Sus scrofa: one gene and its partners. The protein of the gene in region 1 purifies or fractionates together with the protein of each later gene. This does not show direct contact. Links are inferred from orthologs where the notes say so. Each region holds a gene or a part of one and is shown in the gene's direction. Other genes may lie near its edges.

The links.
Region 2: the proteins of PPP4R2 (region 1) and CCDC6 purify together in Homo sapiens (co-immunoprecipitation; 3 studies listed by BioGRID and IntAct, counting the BioPlex papers as one, with this or other methods). This does not show direct contact. The link is inferred for Sus scrofa from reciprocal best matches to the Homo sapiens genes PPP4R2 and CCDC6.
Region 3: the proteins of PPP4R2 (region 1) and TIPRL purify together in Homo sapiens (affinity purification with mass spectrometry; 5 studies listed by BioGRID and IntAct, counting the BioPlex papers as one, with this or other methods). This does not show direct contact. The link is inferred for Sus scrofa from reciprocal best matches to the Homo sapiens genes PPP4R2 and TIPRL.
Region 4: the proteins of PPP4R2 (region 1) and DHX38 purify together in Homo sapiens (affinity purification with mass spectrometry; 3 studies listed by BioGRID and IntAct, counting the BioPlex papers as one, with this or other methods). This does not show direct contact. The link is inferred for Sus scrofa from reciprocal best matches to the Homo sapiens genes PPP4R2 and DHX38.

The regions. Positions count from the first base shown.
Region 1 is NC_010455.5:54,355,260-54,360,188, forward strand, and holds part of PPP4R2 (serine/threonine-protein phosphatase 4 regulatory subunit 2), read left to right. Parts: intron 1-3,974; coding exon 3,975-4,145; intron 4,146-4,929. UniProt on the Homo sapiens protein: Regulatory subunit of serine/threonine-protein phosphatase 4 (PP4). May regulate the activity of PPP4C at centrosomal microtubule organizing centers.
Region 2 is NC_010456.5:63,296,545-63,301,940, reverse strand, and holds the start of CCDC6 (coiled-coil domain-containing protein 6), read left to right. Parts: upstream 1-1,915; 5' UTR 1,916-2,647; coding exon 2,648-2,962; intron 2,963-5,396.
Region 3 is NC_010446.5:82,791,283-82,796,656, reverse strand, and holds the start of TIPRL (TIP41-like protein), read left to right. Parts: upstream 1-1,891; 5' UTR 1,892-2,103; coding exon 2,104-2,207; intron 2,208-2,254; exon of another isoform or gene 2,255-3,639; intron 3,640-5,374. UniProt on the Homo sapiens protein: May be a allosteric regulator of serine/threonine-protein phosphatase 2A (PP2A). Isoform 1 inhibits catalytic activity of the PP2A(D) core complex in vitro. The PP2A(C):TIPRL complex does not show phosphatase activity.
Region 4 is NC_010448.4:14,996,098-15,001,453, forward strand, and holds the start of DHX38 (pre-mRNA-splicing factor ATP-dependent RNA helicase PRP16), read left to right. Parts: upstream 1-1,993; 5' UTR 1,994-2,360; intron 2,361-3,844; exon of another isoform or gene 3,845-3,928; intron 3,929-4,886; 5' UTR 4,887-4,903; coding exon 4,904-5,226; intron 5,227-5,356. UniProt on the Homo sapiens protein: Probable ATP-binding RNA helicase. Involved in pre-mRNA splicing as component of the spliceosome.

The DNA.
Region 1 (4,929 bases):
TTCTTTCGCTCATGTAATTCAATATTTAGATTAAATATACTTGTCTTTGTTTGCTTCATTCAGAAAGTTAAGGCTGAATTCTTTGACACTTTGTGTCCTGATTCAAAGTCTGTCACTGTGTGTCAATGACTGCCCATTAAATTTCCTTTGTTTTCTTTCATTTGTCTTTTTCCATATTCCCCTTTGCTTACAAGTGGTACAGTATGTGCTGTTCCTTGGAGGTAATTACAGCACTCCCATGTTCTCTTTTGTTAGCTTTCCACACAGATTTTGGGTGGAAACAGGCTAAATAGGGAGTAATCTTAGTAGAATTTGGAACTGTAAGAGGCAGCAAGTTAGGATGTGACTTGATACTTCCCCCTAAAATGTTCTAGAACTGGCTAGGAAATAACAGTTGGATTTTGCTCTTGAACCTGTGAAAAAATACCTTTAACCTGAGCATTGTCAGGGAAATATGTTCGTTTTAGTATAGACTTGTGAGTTCCTTTGGAAGAAAAAGGTCATTGTGGTGTTGGTAGGAGGATATATTTATCTGAGTTGTTTTGCCTTTCTAGAGGAAAAGCTGCATAAAGGGAAAGTGGAAGGGAAAGAGAAGAAGAGGGAGTTGAAGTTACTTAAAAAAATTAATGGATAATGAATTTCATTAAATACTTAATTCTAGCCAAGTAGATTTAAATTCTGAGTATGTATTTTATCTTGGGAGGAAATTTTTATGTGAAAGAATTGATTCTCAAGTTGAATATGTGTTTATGTTTCATGAGCATCTGTTTAGAGTAATTTATTTTCATTTGAAAAATAAGGGTTTTTTTGTTTGTTTTTTAGCTTTTTATGCAATGAGTACATTACTAGGAAAATTATTTTTGTTGCCAAATTTTTAGTTGATTTATTCATGGCGTGGTTTTGTGCTCAAATTACATAATTTCCAGTGATGCATTTTCTGCTTTTGTTTTTATCAGATGGTTGTGTTGCATCAAAATGCATTCTTCCATTTTTTCCACACGTATTTTTTCTATTGTATATGGCACAGTAACTTTTGAATTGCATCTCAGATCTGATTTAGGATAACTTTACCTGATACATTCGAAACTTAAAATACAAGTTGTACGTAATTGATTTTATGGCATTTAATTCCTGACTGATCTAGAGTCTTTGATGCTCCTCATAGTTTTGCTTTACCTACTAGTTTCCTTCACTTCTCCTCTCCCTATTCCTATTAATATGTTGTTGATGTTTGGATGTCATGGGTAGATTTGCCAACAGTTAATGGGAAGATGGGTTAGAAAACTGTGTGTGTATGGAAATTCTAATTCGTGAAACAGGTTATGACTAAGTGGGTGATTGTTAAAACTACAGGAAGAATTCTTAATTTAAGAAATGAAAAGTTTAAGACTCCTATTTCAGTAACCTTACCTGGTGTGTTTAAGTATTAGTTAAATGTCTGTAGGGAGTGTAGTGAAATTTAAAGATTAAATTTTAGTAATCACTGACAGTAGTATAGTACACAGAAATTAATATTAGGCAAGTCAAAAATTACAATGTGCCACCTCCTGATTGTTAAACCTCAAATTCTCCTTCCCAGAAAAAAACTTGGGAAAGGAGGGAAAAGGTAATCATATAAATAGCTTTAAATAATGACCCTGAATGAATTTTTTAAATAATAATAAAATTTACCTGCCATGTAATTCACTCATTTAACAGAGTGGAGTTGTCAGGTTACATATCAGCTCTGTTTAACTTTTTGAGAAGCTGCCAAGCTAAACTTTTCCAAAATGGCTACACCATTTTGCATTTCCATCCATGTATAGGTTTCCACTTGACCTTCATCCTCTCTAGCACTTGTTATTGTATTGTCTATCATTTTTATTATAACAGCCTTAGTGGGTGAGAAATGCTATCTTGTGATTTTGATGAGTACTGGCTAATAATGTTAAGAATCTTTGTGTGCTTATTGGCTATTTATCTGTCTTCTGAAACTCTGCAACTCATTAAACAATAACCTCTTACCCATTCCTTTTCCAAGCCCCTGACAAATGCCCTTCTGCTGTCTCTCTGAATTTGACTATTCTAGATTACCTCTGACAAGTGGAATCAAAATATTTATTCTTTTGTGTCTGGTTTACTTCGAGGGTTTAGCATAATGTATTCAAGATTCTTTGTTGTAGTATGTGTCAGAATTTCCTTCTTTAAGGCCGTATTTCATTTTACATATATATTGTACATTTTGTTTATACATTTGGGTAGTTCCTACCGTTGCGTATAAGTGAATTTCGTGCGATTGAGTTTCTGTTTTCACATTTTTGGAGTGTCCAGAAATGGAATTGCTGAATCATTCGGTAAATTCTTTAATTTTTTTTTTTTTTTTTTTTTTTTTTTTTTTTTTTAAGGAGGACCCACCATACTGTTTTCCGTAGTGTCCTCACCATTTTATATTCCCACAAGCAATGAATAAGGGTTTCTTTACATACTACTGGGCAGTGGTTGTTATTTTATGTGTGTGTTTAAAATAGTTAATGTAATGGATGTGAATGAAGTTCTATCTTCCTGTGATTTTGATGTTCATTTCCCAAATGATTAACATTTAATCTTTCCATTTGCTTGTTGGCCATTTGTAGATCTTTAAAGAAATGCCTGTTAATATACTTTGCCCGTTTTTATATAAGTTGGTTTGGTTTTTTGCTGATGAGTTGTGGGAGTTCTATATATATCCTGAATATTTACACTCTACCAGATGGATGATTTGCAGATAGTTTCTCCCATTCTGTGGGTTGCCTTTTCACTCTTTCTGATAGTGTCCCTTTGATGCACAAGGTTTTTTTTTGTTTGTTTTGTTTGTTTTTATGACCACACCTGAAGCATATGGAAGTTCCCAGGCTAGGGGCTCAATTGGAGCTGCAGCTGAGGCCAGCCATGGCAACACTGGATCCAAGCCACACAAGAAGGTAATCACTACCAGTATTGTTTGGTATTGCTGCCTTGATTTGTGCAAGTATCGTCCGTTTTACTCACTGCTGTTTTTGCACCAATCATCGTTGCAGATGTCAACTCAGTGAATAAGTTATCTCTATTCTTAGGGAGATAGCTTTGACCTCTTGGGCCACACTTAGAGAATTGCTGCCTTAGTTTATAGGGTTGCTGGATGGAATGGAAGAGTGACTATGGAGTAGTAGTCTTATCTTGCCTGAGTAGTCTCTTGTCTAAGATGTTTGGAGAAATGGTTGCCATTCCTCACTCTTGTATTTCCTGTAATTTAGGCTATTCAGGCTGGTATCAGCATAAAATTTCCTTATATTAGTGGTAGAATGTGAGGGGACCGGGATAAAAAGATGTTAAATTCATGAATAGATATGGAATGTACATAATGTATTATGTATTTTTACTTTGCAAGATACATTTTGGATAGAACCCTATGATAAATACTTTTTAAATGACAAAATATTTAAAAAATTAGTTGAAAGCAAAAGAAAAAGGAGAAATTAAAGGGTTTTTTTTTTGGTACTTATCAGATACAAGACAAGAAATATTTACTAGTCTTATAAGCATTATGGCTTGGATGATAACAACTTGAGGTATGGAGTCATTCTGATTTGTCCAGTTAAAATTATCACTGTAAAGTTGGCCTAGTTTCTAGTAACCTACTTTAAAATGGGGGCAGTAACACCTCCCTGGTTAGGTTTTTATGAGGAACAGAGTCAAAATAATGTTTTAAAAATGTGAAGAATGGGACTTAGACAATAAGCTTTAATTGAGAAATAGTTAATTTTAAAGATTTTAAGCTGAGATTTAGATTTTGTTTGGGTCGGGAGTAGGGAGAATTTAGAAGGAACCAAGTTGGAGTGTGTGAGTCATATTGATCAGGCCTGGTACAGGATACTGAAGAAACACACTCCCACTACTCCTTGTCCAAATCTTAAGCTGTATTTGTGCTTTGTGTTCAAGCTACATGGTATTACATTTTCAAAATTTTTTACTTATAGGATTCAGTGGTCCCAATTTAAAGGCTATTTTATTTTCAAACTGGAGAAAGTGATGGATGATTTCAGAACTTCAGCTCCTGAACCAAGAGGTCCTCCTAACCCTAATGTCGAATATATTCCTTTTGATGAAATGAAGGAAAGAATACTGAAAATTGTCACTGGATTTAATGGGTATGCATTTAATTCTACTTTTAAAGGTTTAATTTTTAGCTGAACAGTGATTGTTCTCTTAGTTCTGATGTGTCTGGTTCTTTAATAACTGATTATCCATTAGAATAAATTCTGTCTCTTGTGGTATATATAGTAGTTACTGATTTCCAGCTTACATATATTTAAAATAGTTACACCTTTTTTTTTTGAAACTCGAATCATCTTTATATGGTTTTGTGGCATTTTAGATTTTAAATGTGTATGACAGTGGAAATGATATCAGGAAATATTTAAAAATTTTTCTTTCCATTTTTTACTTAATGTTATAAATTTTTATACTTTGTCTAGAACCTGTTTAACATTGAGATAAGTAACATTTCTTTTAAAATGAAAAATAACAATTTATGGAAGAATTCAGCTTAGTGACTTTTTATTTTAAAATATTTTTTGGAGTCCTTTTTTTCCCCTCAGTAAGTAACCATTTTAGCCCTTTGTAAAACATGGCTCTGGAAAGTTACTCTTCACTGAAATGAAACTGACCTTTAAATGGCTGTGTGTCATACTCTATGTTGTTTTAAATATTTCTCTTTTTAGGACTTTGTATTTTTACGGTTTCCTTCATTGAAGGAACGAAGTATTTGTAAAGTTGAATTGTTCAGTATTTAGATTGTTATTAACAATTTGGGTGGTGACAATACCTAATCTGATGTATTGTGTCTATGTTAACCATGAATTCATATTTACGGTCAATTTTTATTTGAAGGGATTTCATTTGTATTTTTAGGTAGCATAAATGCTTTTGTTT
Region 2 (5,396 bases), on another chromosome or scaffold:
CCAGGCAGCACACACTTCTGATTCATTTCCCCCAGAAAGCAGAGAAATGATATTATTGGTTTTCTAACTAGTGTTTCCATCGTAATGCTATTACTGAACTAATGTTGTGATAAACGGTCTGTTTATAAGGGTAATCACTTTTACAAGAAGTAGAAAATTAGACACGCTTCTGCTTTGCAATAACAATAAAAACCACAGTGAAAAAAAATTCCCTCGTTTATTTCCATCTGTATCAGCAGGGAAGCTTTAAGAAGATGGCTTTCCTCTTAATGTCTTTTAAACGCAGTTATTGCCTCAAGTATCGTGTCAAAAAGCAGTTTTTGTCCTAATTCTATTCAGACCAATCCATTTTAAGTTACTGTAACGTGGGCCCTTTAAGAAAGTCAGGCTCTTGAAACTCCACCCCTCCGCTGACTTGAAGCATTTAAGTCCTCTTTCTGAGGCAGTTGGTGATAAAGCTGAGAGAGAGCCAGCTTGCTCCCAGCTTTGCCTGGAAGGAATGTTTTTAAGTAAGCTCTGAAAGTGGAAGCTTTAAGATACTATGGGATAGGGAACAATGGAAACTTGTGAAGTATGGAAGCCAGACTGGCTCTTAAGATTCTATCACGGTGCTGGGGTAAAGCGGAAAGAATGCTGTTAAGTCTGAGTTTCCCCATGTGGCACGACTCCCTGCTAGCTTTACCCCTCCATTTCACCCAGCAAGTGAGATTTCCAGAAGCCACTTCCAATCTGAGGAGCTGCTTGTCTTAAGTAGCACATCCTCAAAAGGAAAAAGTGAGGGAGAGGAGTTAAGTCTCAGTGAATACTAAACTGGATCACTTCTAACAGAATTGTTGACATTGGCTATATGTTTCTGAAGAGTAAAGTCAACTTTTTTTTTTGTTCTCCTGCTACACCAATAATGGCTGAGTTCAGAAGTCCTCTAGTACTAAACTAAATAATTAGGACAAATTTGGGGTTTAATTGCCATTGGCATTTTGGAGCTGTCTGCTGCAAGCAGCCATCTTGGTAAAAGATGATGTCATTTGGAACCCTTGGCATTTTAGTTTATTCCCAGGTACCTGCTGTTAGGAATTAGCTGTTGAATTAACACTGTAATCATTAGGTCAAATTTAGGTTTAAAGACAATGGAGGAGTTGAAATAAAAATCATTAAAGCACTTCTTTATCCTTCCTAACACATTACAAACTTTCCCAGAAGTTCAAAGCAATAGAAAAAAAATTTACACTTTTTTCCCCTGTTTCCAGGTTTGTTCTTCTGTTGACTAAGCTTGGAAAATAAAACTAGTCTGGTCAGTTTCATTTTCTGATTTTTATACATAAGTGAAAGCTGTTTTGTGTCAACAGTGTAAAGTGTTTAGAATCACCTCACCTGCTGGGCCAATTTCCTGTAAGCCTTTGTTTGGGACGGTAAAGGGGAAATACAAGTTTTGATCTTGCATTTCTTATGCTTCAAAACTAAAACCCTGTATTAGACCACAGTAGGGTAATTTTTTTTTTTTTTTTTGACTTCTTAAAGTTTTCTAGGAGTGGGCAAGATGATAGTAAAGGCAAATGATGGTCATGTTCTATTTCCACTTAATCACTATTTGTATAGCATAATGCTCTGTCCGCAGTTACTTTGGAAAGTTGGCACTTAAAGGGATATTTTAATCCACAAAAAGTGTTTATCTTTTTTTCTTTTGGATTAGATAAATGTTACTGTCTTAATCCTACTGCACGACAGGTCCTGGCATTGTCTGCAAGATACGGAGAGAAAAGGAAAAAAACCTTGCACCTTGTTTAAACAATTGAGCACAGTGTGGTTTACGAGATGATTAGGAGGAGGAGAAAAGACATTGTCTCTCCTGCAATTTTTTTCTTAAGGAGGTTAACCTGTGGGTGCTGTCGCGTCGCCCTCCTTGGCTCCTTGCAGAGGAACTTAACGTTCTGTGAACGCTCTCCAAACCTTCCTAGGCAAGCTCGCTGAGATCCAACTAAAAGGGCTGCGTCTGTGTTTGAAGCAGACAGAGGGAGACAGGAGCACACAACAGTCGCCAGAAGATGGGGCCACAACTCGGCTGGGGCTGGGTGCCGGAGCCGGGCTGACCTTTCCACGTGTCCTCAGCACCTGCGAGGCTAGTGGGGCATTAGGTTTCCTTTTCCCAGGAGCGGGCGCGAGCCCGGAAGAGGCTGGGCGGCGGCGGGCTTAGGGCAGAGAGAGGTGGGAGGCCCTCCCTCTGAACACGTGTGGCGGGGGAGCAGCTGGTGCGGAGGCTGACCTGGTCGGCAGGCACCGGCCCGCCCCGCGCGTCCCCAGCCCGCCGGCGGACGCCAGAAGGCTGACGGCGGCGGCAGGCGGGTCTCGGAGCTTTTCGGCCTGCTTTGCTGGGCGGCCTAAGCGAGCGCGCCAGGCCCGGCTGGAGCGAGCCCCAGTGCAATACTGCCCGAGCCCGGGCGGGGTCTCTGTTCTCTGGCAGAGGAGGTCCCTTGGCAGCGGGAAGCTCCCTCTCTTTCTCTTGCCGCCGTTCGGAGTCTGCGCCCTGGTGCCAGGCGCCCAGATCGGCGCTCCCCTGTGCTCGCCCGGCGCCCACTCATTTGCAGCCCAGCCTTCGCCGCCGCCGCCTCCCCGCTCCTCCTCCTGGTTGTCTCCCCAGCCCGCCGCGGTCATGGCGGACAGCGCCAGCGAGAGCGACACGGACGGGGCGGGGGGCAACAGCGGCAGCTCGGCAGCCATGCAGTCGTCTTGCTCGTCGACCTCGGGCGGCGGTGGCGGCGGCGGGGGAGGCGGAGGCGGCGGCGGCGGCGGGGGAAAATCGGGGGGCATTGTCATCTCGCCGTTCCGCCTGGAGGAGCTCACCAACCGCCTGGCTTCGCTGCAGCAGGAGAACAAGGTGCTCAAGATTGAGCTGGAGACCTACAAACTCAAGTGCAAGGCGCTGCAGGAGGAGAACCGCGACCTGCGCAAAGCCAGCGTGACCATCGTGAGTGCACCCCCCCTCCCGGGGGGCGCGCGGCAGCGGGCGACCTCCTCCCGCCCCGGGGAGAGGCTGCACCCCACCCCGGGCAGTCCCCCGGACTTCTCCCAGGCTCTCGAGGACCCGCAGCGAGCAAGCTCCCTGCCAAGACCTGCCGGCCCGGGAGGGTGGGGGAGAGGGAGGTGTCCCTTCGGGGCCGCTCGGGTCTGCCCTCCCCGGGGGTCCAGGCCCCTCGCGGGGTGCGGGAGGAGGCTGCTGGGACCGCCACCCACGTTCCCTTGTCGCTTCTGGGGAGGAGGCCCCTCTTGGGCAGAGCTGGAGGTCGGCGGCGTGGCTGGGGGGCGGGGTGGGACTTTTTCCAGTCCTCGTCTGCCTGAGGGGTGCGTCCAGAATCTGGGAGACCTAGGCTGAGGGAGAGAGAGGCGGCTGGGGCCTGTTCCAGGGGCCTAGTTTGGGGTGCGGGGAGTGCGCAGCTGGGCTGGGCACTTGGCTGGCATCTGGACGGCGCTGGCTGGGTCGCCCGGGGAGGGCGCGGGAGAGAGTGGCCGGGAATCCGGGAAGTGGAGTTTTCTGGCCGGGATCGAGAGGGAAGGGCGGGTACCGGAGCTGATGCTCCCACCACGTTGGAAGTCCTTTCCTTGGACAGGGGGCGGGTGGGGGTGGCGGCGGCGGTATATAGCCGGGAGAACGCAGCATCTTAGACTGGCCTGGACGGGGGGAACGGTTTGAAGCCTGGACAAGCTGAAGCCTGGGTGAAGGGGATCGACTGACTCCTTGGCTGAGCAAGATATACGTGTTTGCTTCACGGGCGGTGGAGTGTCTCGGTTATTTTGCTTCGGAGTCCAGAGACTTGGTGGGAGAACAGGCTGTCTGTTCTCTTTCCACCTGGCCCCTGGAGGCTCCCCCGAAGAGGATAAGATTAGGTGTGCAGTTCTCCCTTCTAGCGTAGCAGGCCCTTAGAAAGGCCCCTATTAGCTGTGATGAGGCGAAACGTAACTGGAAAAAGTACACTGTGTGCTCTCACCTAACATCCCTGCCAGCTAGCCACATCATTAACATGCAGAATCCCCATACAGACAACTCTATTCAGATCAAAACAGTTTCCCAGCCGGGAGGAGAGAGGACTATGTCACGAAATCAAGGGGCTAAATTGCCGCAGCTGTTGCACAATAGCTGATTAGAACTGAACGTGCAGATGGAGAAAAAGGCATGAACGTGGGGATGGACCAAAGATCACACTCTAGAAAAGGAAATGGGGCAAGTTTAGGATGCCCCCCTTGCGAGAAAAGTCTGCAGTGGAGGAGTAAGCGTGTGTGGAAGCTTCCTTTGTGCTAGCTCACGCTTGGGAACTGGATGGCATCCTGAATTTGCTTAGGAAGCAGGTTTCCACCAAAGTTTCTGTGGGATTGGCTGCTTGGAGAGAAGTTGATTGCCTAAAGAGACTTCACATGCTCAAATCCAGCTCTGGTGAATGGAATTGGAGCAATATTCACAAGTCTCCAGACTGTAAAGTTCTTGAAGTGCCCTTTTGATAGGAAGGGGGAGGAATTTGCAGAGGCAGCCACTTCCAAGCCTCTTCTGCAGCTTTCTTGGCTGAAAGAGATGTTTTTGGTGAGTGGGGGTTTGAGAGGAGGGGAAAGTTGGTGGAAACAGTTTATTTAAGATTGGGGTTGGTAAATGAGAAGATTGGTCTAGCCTCTTGGAAAATGTGAACCACCGAAAGTAGTAAAACTTCTATGAAGCCGAATCTCTGGCCTCTTGCCTATAATGAGCAATTTAGGCTGTTTTTGTTTGTTTGGGAGGGAGGCTGGGGGAGTGGAGATAAAATAAAAGGGTTATCTGTTTGACATTTGACCATATTATAAGTAAGTCCGTAGATTGGACACAAACACGTTGGCTTTGCGTGGACAAACATGTTCATTCCTGGTGTCTAAGATCAGAGGCCTCTGAGAGCTTGGCTTGAAGAGTGTGCATGGTGGTGGCTTTCTTTGCCCTTAGCCTCTATTAAAACTGACACCCTACCAAATATGCTTTGTGAAATGTTCTGTGGCCACACTGAGTCAGATTTTAAAATTGTTTTAGATGGCAGCTCTACATACCAGAGGCCTCTCACTTCTTTAATCTCTGATGAATATATTCAGGGAAACAAAGTGCTTGCAGTTTACTTAGTTCCCTGGTCCTTGGCAGGTGTTCCTAAGGCCAAAGAGAGAAGAGATTCCTTTAAGCTTTTGAGACTTTTGTTAGAGTTAAGCAACTGACCTAGGACCCAGATTGTGTTGGGTGGGCGTGACTCCTCAGGTATATAATTTGGGAGGAGAAATGTCTGACTACGTGGAGTGGATCTGTGGATGTAAGGATTCCACTGAACAACACTATGTAGTAATCCATGTCAAGGTTAAACTTCACAGCCCCTGACACTTCTGACTGAAACATAGCCCTT
Region 3 (5,374 bases), on another chromosome or scaffold:
TCTGTTACAAGAAAGGGTGTGAGGAGTTCCCGTTGTGGCGCAGTGGTTAGCGAATCCGACTAGGAACCATGAGGTTGCGGGTTCGGTCCCTGCCCTTGCTCAGGGGGTCCCTGCCCTTGCTCAGTGGGTTAACGATCTGGCGTTGCCGTGAGCTGTGGTGTAGGTTGCAGACGCGGCTTGGATCCCGCGTTGCTGTGGCTCTGGCGTAGGCCGGTGGCTACAGCTCCGATTCAACCCCTAGCCTGGCGGGAGCAGCCCAAGAAATAGCAACAACAACAACAACAACAGCAACAACAACAAAAAGACAAAAGACAAAAAAAAAAAAAAAAAAAAAAAAAAAAAAGAAAGGGTGTGAGTGCTGTTTCCTAATGAAAAAACAAATGCCTGGCCAACAGCAGATGCTCAAATTTTGACATTCATTTGGATGAATGAATAAACAGTGGTAACTGGAATGAGTGAAGTTAAATTAAATCAACATGTTGGCTAAGAAGAAGGAGTGATTAAATCCAGCTCCAGAGTTCAGAAAAAGCCTTTTGGAGGAGATGTATCATTCCAAGGCAGATCATCCCAGGTTAGGGAAAGGGATGGGGGCTGGAGAATCTATAGTTCTAAAAGGTGCCAGGTTGACTCTGAAATGGGACAGGTCTGAGTATGACAGTTTCAAGCAGATAGAACAGCAAGAGTAAGGGCCCAAAGGTTGGGCTGAGTGCTGGTGAGTAGGGCTGAGAGGGAGTTGAAAATGGGGCCAGAAAGAAAGATTTGGGAGAAGTTCCCATTGTGGCAAAGCGGAAACGAATCCAACTAGTATCCTTGAGGATTCAGGTTTGATCTCTGGCCTTGCTCCAGTGGGTTAAGGATCAGGCATTGCCGTGAGCTATGGTGTAGGTAGCAGATGATGCTCAGATCCAGCATTGCTACGGCTGTGGTGCAGGCTGGTAGGTGTAGGTTGGATTTGACCCCTAGCCTGGGAACCTCCACATTCCTTGGGCACAGACCTAAAAAGCCAAAAAAAAAAAAAAGATTTGATAGACACCCTAAGAGCAAGGGATTTTTTTTTTTTTCTAATTTATTTTGGCCCCGCTGGCATGTGGGAGTTCCCAGGCCAGGAAAGCATACTATTTTAGGCAGCTGAAGCCAAAATCATTAGTTAAGTGGTTTGCCAAGGATGCATAAAACATCATTGTAAAAGATGATTTAGTACGGGTCTAAAGTGCTGTTTCCACTATACCAGATGCTTAGGTGATAGCTAGACCAGGAAAGTCCTGAAATGTCTGAACGATGAATTCTTTTTTTAGGGCCACACCCACGGCATAAGGAGAGTCCCAGGCCAAGGGTCAAATAGGAGCTATAGCTGCCGGCCTATGCCACAGTCACCGCAATGCCAGATCCCTTAACATACTGACTGAGCGAGGCCAGGGATCGAACCCGCAACCTCATGGGTCCTAGTCGGATTAGTTTCCGCTGCGCCACGACAGGAATTCCTGAATGAGGAAATTTTTGATAGGAGTCTTAATCGATAGCAGCTAGATGTCCAATTCTGGGTCACGTAGCTCTTGATGTTGACCTAAGCTCCTGGACTCTTAAGTGATTTTAAAATTTTGGCCTCAATGGGAAAATGTAGGGCATTTCCTCTCTACCCTAATTCACCAACACGCGAGGTAACTCGCTGCTTTGCAAAGTTGGCTAGGATCACGTTCAACTCACCTTTTCCACCGTGGAGCTTCCATTAAACATGCCCTGAGACGACGTCATTGCAGCAGCTCAGGGAGCGGTGCACCCCGACCACACCTCCTGAGTCGAGGCCTCTCCCCTCAGCATTTTCTCACCGCCTTTTTCCCGGTGCGTCTTGACGTAATACGTAGGTCACGCAACCTTGGCAACTGCTCCCGGAAGCAAAACCCGAGGGGCGGAGAAGAAGGTGGAAAGTTGGGCCTGCGTCCGGGTCGGCCGGCAGGGGGCGGGGCCGGGCATGGTAACGGCTGGGAAGCCGAGGGGGCTGGGCCGGAGCAAGGCGGAGGGAGCGGTGTCCGCTACCGCTGTCGCTGCCGCTGCCACCGCTGCTCCAACCTGTTCTGCGTAGCCCACGCGGGCTCCATCGCAGCCATGATGATCCACGGCTTCCAGAGCAGCCACCAGGACTTCTCCTTCGGGCCCTGGAAGCTGACGGCATCCAAGACCCACATCATGAAGTCAGCGGATGTAGAGAAGTGAGACTCCAGGGCTGAGATCCGGGCGCGGGCTGGGGAGCTGGGCCTGCGCGGGAGGCAAGGGCGAGCTCCCCGCAGCCCCAGCCTTCCTCTGGGGCGGAGGCTTGGACGGGACCTTTGAATGGCAACACCAGGAAATATTGCTATCACTGCCTTCTGTCCTTCGGTTCAGGTTTCAGGCGCTGCCTTCGTGAAACTGTCATTCCGCTTGGGTTTGAGCAGAGCATGACTGTTCCGGTGGACTTTCGCCTCCCATGGTTCTCTACCTGCCCCAGCCTGCGCCACCTTTAGACTATTTCTGGGTGGCTGTGACCTCTTTTCTTGGGGTTTAATAACGGAGATGATATATATGCTTGATTTTTAGCTTGTCAGGTGCTATGCCAGGCATTTAAGATACAGAAGACAATCCCGACCTCGAGGAACTCAGTCTTGTGAGAATGACAGTTATAATACAGTGTGAATTGATAGAAGTGTATATACAGGGTTATTCGAGATTATTTAGGGAAACAAGGCATGCGGGAAATTGGGATGTCTGCACTGAATCTTGATAAAGTCGGTGGAATTGGGTGAGGGTGGAAGGCATGTGTAAAGGTGGAGGGCCAGGGAAAGTGACAGCTGTGCCGCGTTTGTGATGCCTGAGCTCGACAGAATTTGGGGGTGACAGGAGACACGTGTAAAGCTGGGAGGTCAGAGAGAGTGGGAGCCTTAAAGCACTGTTTCTGTGTGATTGCAGCATGAAGGATCGGAGGGGGACTGCTGTTGTGAGAAGCCAGAGGCAAGCAGGTCCTTGGGCAGTAAAGATAACTGAGAGAACTTTTATGCCGGGCTAAGGAGTTTTGATTTGGGGGCGGGGGGGCTATGCTCGGGACATGTGGAAGTTCCCTGGCCAGGGATGGAATCCACACCACAGCAGCAACCCAATCCCCTGTAGTGACAGCAGCTGGATCCTTAATCTGCTGCACCACAAGAGAATTTAAGTAGTTTTGAGTTTTATCTGACTACCACTGGGGGTCTTTTTTTTTTTTAAGTGTTTGGCCTCACCTGTGGCACATGGAAGTTCCATGGCCAGGGGTTGCACCATAGCTGTTGTATAGTTATGCTGTAGGCCACAGGGAAAGTCCATGGGTGTCATTTTATAGAAAGGAGCGATATTATCAGATTACACCCTGAAAGAATTCTCTGGAGCTGATGCAGAGGATGGATTGGAAGGATGTAGGCCTGGGTAAGGAGACAGTTGGAAGGGGAGAGAAGAGAGATTTTAGAAGATTAAGTCCCTGAATTTGATGGCTGCTTGATAGGAGGAGGAAGGAAAAAGGAAGAATCTGTACCATTGGCAAGATTTCTGGCTTGCTGTTGCAGGGAAAGCATTGCTATTGGACAAGGTGAGAAACACAGGAGGAGGAGCAGAATGGAGGCATGTGTTGGATAGAAGGTGAGATTAGTTTGTTGAAGAGTGTCTTAGGCATTTATCTTGGAGCTTAAAAAAAGATGACTTGTCCATGATTTAGCTTTGGGAATCATCAGCTTATAGTTGATATACCTGAATACCTGGGAGTGAATTAAAATCATTTGGAAGTCAAACAGAAGAAAAGGAAAAGGTTATGAGATGGGACCCTAGGGAGCACAGGCATTTTAAGATTTAGGTAGAGGAAAGTAACCAGGGAAGAGAGGAGAGTCATGAAAGGATATTTAACTTCCTAATTAAAAAAAAAGGAAACATTCTCACAGTCACTAAGAAAAATTAAGAAAATACAGAAAAGAAAGGAAAAAGAAATCCCTTCATCCTATCACAGTTACTCTGAGTTTTTCGCTCCATGTAACTTTCTCTATTACATATTGCACCACATATTTGTAATTGTGCTATATATGAACTAGTCAGCTTCAAATTATGATTACCCATGTAATTTTCAGACTATTTAAGAGGTACTAGATGGATGGAGAATTTTGTTTTGTTTTGTTTGTTTTTAGGGCTGTACCCTAGGCATGTGGAAGTTTCCAGGCTAGGGGTCCAATTGGAACTGCAGCTGCTGGCCTACAGCAACGCCAGATCCAAGCTCCATCTGTCACTTTCACCGCAGCTCTCTGAAACACCGGATCCTTAACCCACTGAGCGAGGCGAGGGATTGAACCCACATCCTCATGGATACTAGTTGGATTCTTTGTTTTTCAGGGCTGCACCAGCGGCATATGAAAGTTCCCAGGTTAGGGTTCAAACTGGAGCTGTAGCTGCTGGCCTATGCCACAACCACAGCAATGCCAGTTCCAAGCCTCGTCCGCAACCTACACCACAGCCCCACAGCAACGCTGTATCCTTAACCCACTAAGTTAGGCCAGGGATAGAACCCTCATCCTTATGGATATTAGTCGATTCTTAACCTGGTGAGCCACAATGGGAACTCCATGGAGAGTTTTAAGAGAATCAAATTCCAGATCTTGAGAATTCCATCACGGTGCAGTGGAAATGAGTCCTACTAGGAACCATGAGGTTGTGGGTTCAATCCCTGCCTCACTCAGTGGGTTAAGGATCCAGCATTGCCATGAGCTGTGGTGTAGGTCACAGATGTGGCTTGGATTCCGCATTGCTGTGGCTGTGGTATAGGCTGGCGGCTGTAGCTCCGATTGGACTCCTAGCCTGGGAACCTCCCTTTGCTGCAGGTGTGGCCCTAAAAAGCAAAAAAAAAAAAAAAAAAAAAGAAAGAAAGAAAGAAAGAAAAAAACTCCAGATCCTTAACCTCTTTGTTTATTTCTAAAACCAATCTGCTTGAATATCTTGAGTATACTTAGTAGTAGTTCTTCCTTGTGACAAAACAAAGGCTTTTCTGCTCCCATCTTACATTTTTCTGTGATGCCTGCCCTAGGGCAAAACCTCTTGGGTGCTGAACAAATGAATTGGGTTTTTTTTTTTTTTTTTGCAAGCAAGCAAAATCTTTATTGCAGGAAAGCAAATAGCTCCCAGGGCTGCTGGGAGGGGGGAGAAAAGCCCCACCCCCATTGTCCTATGGGGGTTTTTATCCTTTAACGATGTGGGGGGTACCAACTGGGTATCCTTTAAAGATGTGGGGGGTCCAAAAAGATGTGGTTTTCTCCTATTGGCCTTGCTTGATTACATTTATCAGTCCTTGTCCAACAGAGGTGTTAGGGGTAGAAATGTCCCATTTAATTTTTTA
Region 4 (5,356 bases), on another chromosome or scaffold:
CAGGTCACGGCTTAACCCACTGAGCGAGGCCAGGGATCAAACCCACAACCTCATGGTTCCTAGTCGGATTCGTTAACCACTGCGCCACAAGGGGAACTCCCAATCAATGAGTTTTTTTTGTTTTGTTTTTGTTTTTTGCTGCACGTGCGGCATGCGGAAGTTCTGGGGCCAGGCACCTGAGCCACTGCAGTGACAATGCCAGATCCTTAATCCTTAAACTTCTGAGCCAACCGCAATTCCAAGGAGCTTTACTTTTGATCCATCCATGATAAACTCCATTGAGATACCTGGTATTTTAAGTTCAGTTCCAAAGTTGTCTAATGCTATGAAAAAAGAGGACTTCCTTCCCTCCCTCTCTCTTATGTGACAAGCAGCATTTTAAGATATGAATTACTAAAATTCGCATAAGAAATGGAACTGTTCCAGTCATGAGCCATATTTTAAATAGGGAAGCTGATTGCCAGAAGGTACTTCATCAAACAGGAATGGCAGAACAAATTCTGAGAGGGAAAGGGGAAAGCTAAAGAAAAGATGGATCTGTCGAACCACTAGAATTCAACCAAACAGCAATTTCTGCGTGTTACTGATAAAAAGAGGAGGAAATGGCAGGAGAGCAAAGTTGTCATCAGAGTGAGTGGGGAGGTGAGGGTGTGAGAGTGGAATTGAATAAATGTTGAAAAAAGGAAAGGGAAATTGAGACCACACCTAAGAAAATGTCTATAGCAAAGGATAAAAACAAGGAATTCAGAAAGAAGACAGACGAGAAAAAAAAAAATTTGGAAAGTTTCACTGCTAAGTAAAGAAAAGCAAATTAAAAGATGTATTTTAGGAGTTCCCACTGTGGCACAGCGGAAATGAATCCAACTAGCATCCATGAGGATGTGGATTTGATCCCTGGCCTCTCTCAGTGGGGTGGGGGGGAATCTGGCCTTGCGTCAGCTCTGGTGTAGGCCAGCAGCTGTAGCTCTGATTTGACTCCTACCCTGAGAACTTCCATATGCTGTGGGTGTGGCCACAAAAAGTAGAAAAAAAAAAGTTATATTTTAAAAAGCCATTAAACTGGCAAAGATTAAATGATAAAGGCAAGAATGTCAGTGAAGGGACAGGCTTCATAGTCCCCCCTAGAAAACAGAGAACAAACCTTGTCTAGAAAGAAACCTGAAATACAACTCCATTTCTGAGAATTATTTCCTAGTAAATAACCAGACATACGCAGAAAGATTTATGTAAAAAGGATATTTGTCACGTTTTTAACAGTGAAAAACTGGAAACAACTTACACTGCCATCGGTAGGAGAATCGTGAAATGAAGGATGGCAGTCCTGTAACATACTAACACACTGTCACTACATATTGCGTTATAGATTAACAATTCAGATACGTGAAAAATCCTCGTAATAAAGAAAAAAGTCATAAAACAGTAGTATACAAAGGGTGATTCCGCTTTTGTACAAAACCTAACTATAATGCAAATATACATATTCACATAGGAAATAACTAAAAATGAATATCCTCAAACACCCTCAGTGGTTTTCACTGCGTGTGAACTTACGAGTGACTTTTACTCACACTGGGGTGCACGTCTTCATTTTTCCAATATCCCCGACATACCTATTTTTTATGATGCCAGTGGCTGGACTACTCCTGGCCCACAAGTGCCGGGGAAAAATGATACTTTATTTGCACGTCATCTTCCTCGCCAGCACTTCAAGGCTTTCGGCAACCCTGACACTTTCTCCAAAAAGCCGCGACGCCGGCGACTCCTTTCTTCTTCCGCAACCGCGGCGGCGACCCTAAACCAGAGTAACCCAGGGGCTGTTGCCAAATAACTCTCGGCCGACCTCTTAAGTGGACGGAAACGGAAAAAGAAAACGCACAAACGCAGTGATTAACGCGCGGTCTGTTCAGTTCAGCAGCCCAATAAGCGGAAGGGCCTATTCTACTCACGGCCAATCTTCCCCGCTGCGACCGGAAGCCTTAGGGTCACTTCCGCCCTTGTTAAACATGGCCGATCCCACCCCGCATTCCAATTAGGGGGCTGCCCAACTCTTAGACTAACCGTGATTGGTCGCCAAGAGACTCGGAAGTGTCTGTAATAAATGTCTTATCCCAGCCTCAGCGGAGGACCGTCTAGTCCAACAAGCGTGGTCCCCTTCCGCCCCGCACTAGGAACTCGCGTTTTCCGGGCTGATCTCGATGGTATCTTTGGACGGATAGAGGGGACCGCGCAAAGTATTATGGGACAACGATGGCCGCTTTCAAGGTGCGGGTTTTGGCTTTCTGAGACGTTCTGAGCGAGGAGTGGCTGCGCCAGCGCCCCAGAATCCGGGACAGAAGGTCTCGAGAGTCGGGCGTGGTGAGGTGAGTGTCCCTTCTTCCTTTCCGACCTTTTCTTACCCAGTCGTGGTGGCTCCAGGCAGCGGATATTGGTCCCTCTTTCGGGTTTGGGCCTAGACTTGGGAATCCTTGTCTTTGTCAGCCAGTGTGCCTTATTCGCTGTAGGGATATTGCGCAGGACAGCCTGCCGCGGCCTTCCTCTTTATTCTGATCAGATCCTGCATTTTGGTGCGTCCCCGCTGAGGTCCAGGGATGCTGCCCTGGGCGTCACCTGCTCCCTTCCTTAGGCCTCCGCATTAGCCCACTCCCAGACGGACTCCGAACCCAGTAGGGGTTCTTTGGGCTTCCTCTTCTCTGTCACAGTGGTATCTCTATCAGGCGATATCCTCTGCTAGAATGTCAACTCCAAGAAGGTCTGGACTTTTGTCTCTTCTCTTCTCTATCTCTAATGCCCAGAACAACGACTGGCTCACAGAAAGCTGTCAGTGAATAATTATTGAATGAATATATTCAGTTTCTTTCTTCACTATTTTCCTTATACCTCTTGTGGCTTCTTTACCATTAATACTTATTCGCAAAACAGCAGTTAACTCCTCAGCCACTCGTTGTCCTGTCAAACTCTTTTTCCTGTGCTCCTAGTACCTGTCCTTGCTGTCTTTAGGAATTTCTGGCTCCCTATCTCCTTTAATCAGTTTAAACTTGTTCATTCATTAATTCTTCACATGGTTCTGTTGTAGGCACTGGGCGTAGTAGTCATTAAGACAGACAAGGTTCTCCTGCATAAAATGACATACTAGGGGTATTTTTTCTAGTTCAGACTACTGAGCAGAGTCTGTATGTCCTACCTTCCTGGATTTGCTCACATGAGTACAGATATCACCAGTAGGTAGCTTTCCCTTTTCCCTTCTACCTAATGGCATTTTTTTTAAAATTTTTTTTGTCTTTTTGTCTTTTTGTTGTTGTTGTTGTTGCTATTTCTTGGGCCGCTCCCGCGGCATATGGAAGTTCCCAGGCTAGGGGTCCAATCGGAGCTGTAGCCACCGGCCTACGACAGGGCCACAGCAACGCGGGATCTGAGCCGCATCTGCAACCTACACCACAGCTCACGGCAACGCCGGATCGTTAACCCACTGAGCAAGGGCAGGGATCGAACCCGCAACCTCATGGTTCCTAGTCGGATTCGTTAACCACTGCGCCACGACGGGAACTCCCCTAATGGCATTTTTAAAAAAGGAAATTCTTGTTTCTTTGACCATACTATGTGTTGTCTGTTTGGCAATATTCTTCTAGAAAGCTCTGCATGTTAATTAAAGCTGGGCACAACAGTCTGGATTCTGGTGGTACCCTAGCACTTGATAGTTCTTTGCTTCACTGACTTGTTGGAATGAGGGAAGTTAGTCAAGCATTCAGAATATTTATAAGTAGATGGTGTATAGTGGGAAGAAAAAGAGGAGTTTGTTACAAGTTGAGTGCCAGGAAATCTTACAGTTACCTAAATACTTTTTCAGAAGTACCATTCCCAAGCCTGATGCTTCTCATCAACATTTTTGGAGAACATGAATTGTCATTAGACAGATTTCAACTGCCGTGAGGTAATTCTTTTCTACTGAACTTACCTGGCCCAGAAAATGCGTTTAAGTATAGACTGCATGGATAGTAGCCTTATCAACATCTCTGCTCCGCTGTAGCTGTAGTTTAAAAGAAGGGAGAGGAGGAAGAACTTACGTAGAAAAAACGATGAGGGATCCAATCAGTGTCTAGGAGCACAGCAAGTGAAATAATGTAACAGCCACATTTCTGTAACTCTTTATGGTTACAGAGTGCTTTTACTAAACTTTCTTGTTTGATTCTCACAACAACTCCAAGGATCAGATAGAGCAAAAAGTATTTTCACTTTGCAGATATAGAAGTTATGCCTAGGAGTTCATGCTTTGGTGCAGTGGGATCTGCAGTGGCAGGGGAGCAGGTTGGATCCCTGGCCCATCACAGTGAGTTAAGGATCTGGCGTTGCTGCAGCTGTGGAGTAATTTATGACTCTGGCTTGGAGTCGATCCTGGCCTGGGAACTCCATATCCCATGGGGCTCTCCCCCCCATAAGTGGGGGAGGAAATTATGCCTAACTGAAAGTTAAGTTATTTGCTTACAATCACACAGGCAGAAAATGTCAAGGGCCTGGATAGTAGAGATTTCTGATGTTAAATCTAGTGGTGTTATCCTTATACTCCCTTTTGAGATACCACCATGCTCTAGTAAGTATCTCTTAGTGAGGTCTGTTCTTGCCTGGATGCTGCCCTCTTGGATCCAGGTGTGTCTGTGTGTGCGTGCAAGTATCTATTTCGGATGTGTGTTGGGGTGGGATTAGGAAGATCTTTTGAGATTGTCAGTGACTTGATGGACAGGTCTTGGTTAAGAGGTAATTAAAGGAATTTTGGTCCTGGAGAAGAGGTCAACGCACCAAATATGCATGTGGCTACAGTTACTCTGGGATATAGCACAGTCAAGCCTTTCCTCTTCTTATGTCTAATGCCAAATGGTTTGTTTTCCTTTCAGAAATCTCAGAGCCTGTCATGGAGGACACCATCGAGGATGCCTCCCTCCACCGATTGGAAGGCACTGATGCCGACTCTCAGGTTGGCGGTCTTATCTGTAAAACCAAAAGTGCAGCTAGTGAGCAGCACGTCTTTAAGGCCCCTGCTCCCCGCCCGTCATTGCTGGGACTGGACTTGTTGGCTTCCCTGAAAAGGAGGGAGAGAGAGGAGAAGGATGATGGAGAGGATAAGAAGAAGTCCAGAATCTCTTCCTACAAGGACTGGGAAGAGAGCAAAGATGACCAGAGGGACGCTGAGGAGGAGGGCAGTGACCAGGCTGGCCGAAGTAGCCGAAGAGACAGGTAAAGGCCTTAGGGTGGCTTGCCCTAAAGGCAATGAGAGTGGAGCCCAGAACATAACATTCTGTGTTTATCTCTCAGTGTTCCTGTTGGACATTTAGGATGTTTTAAATTGTATGTTGATTATATCACA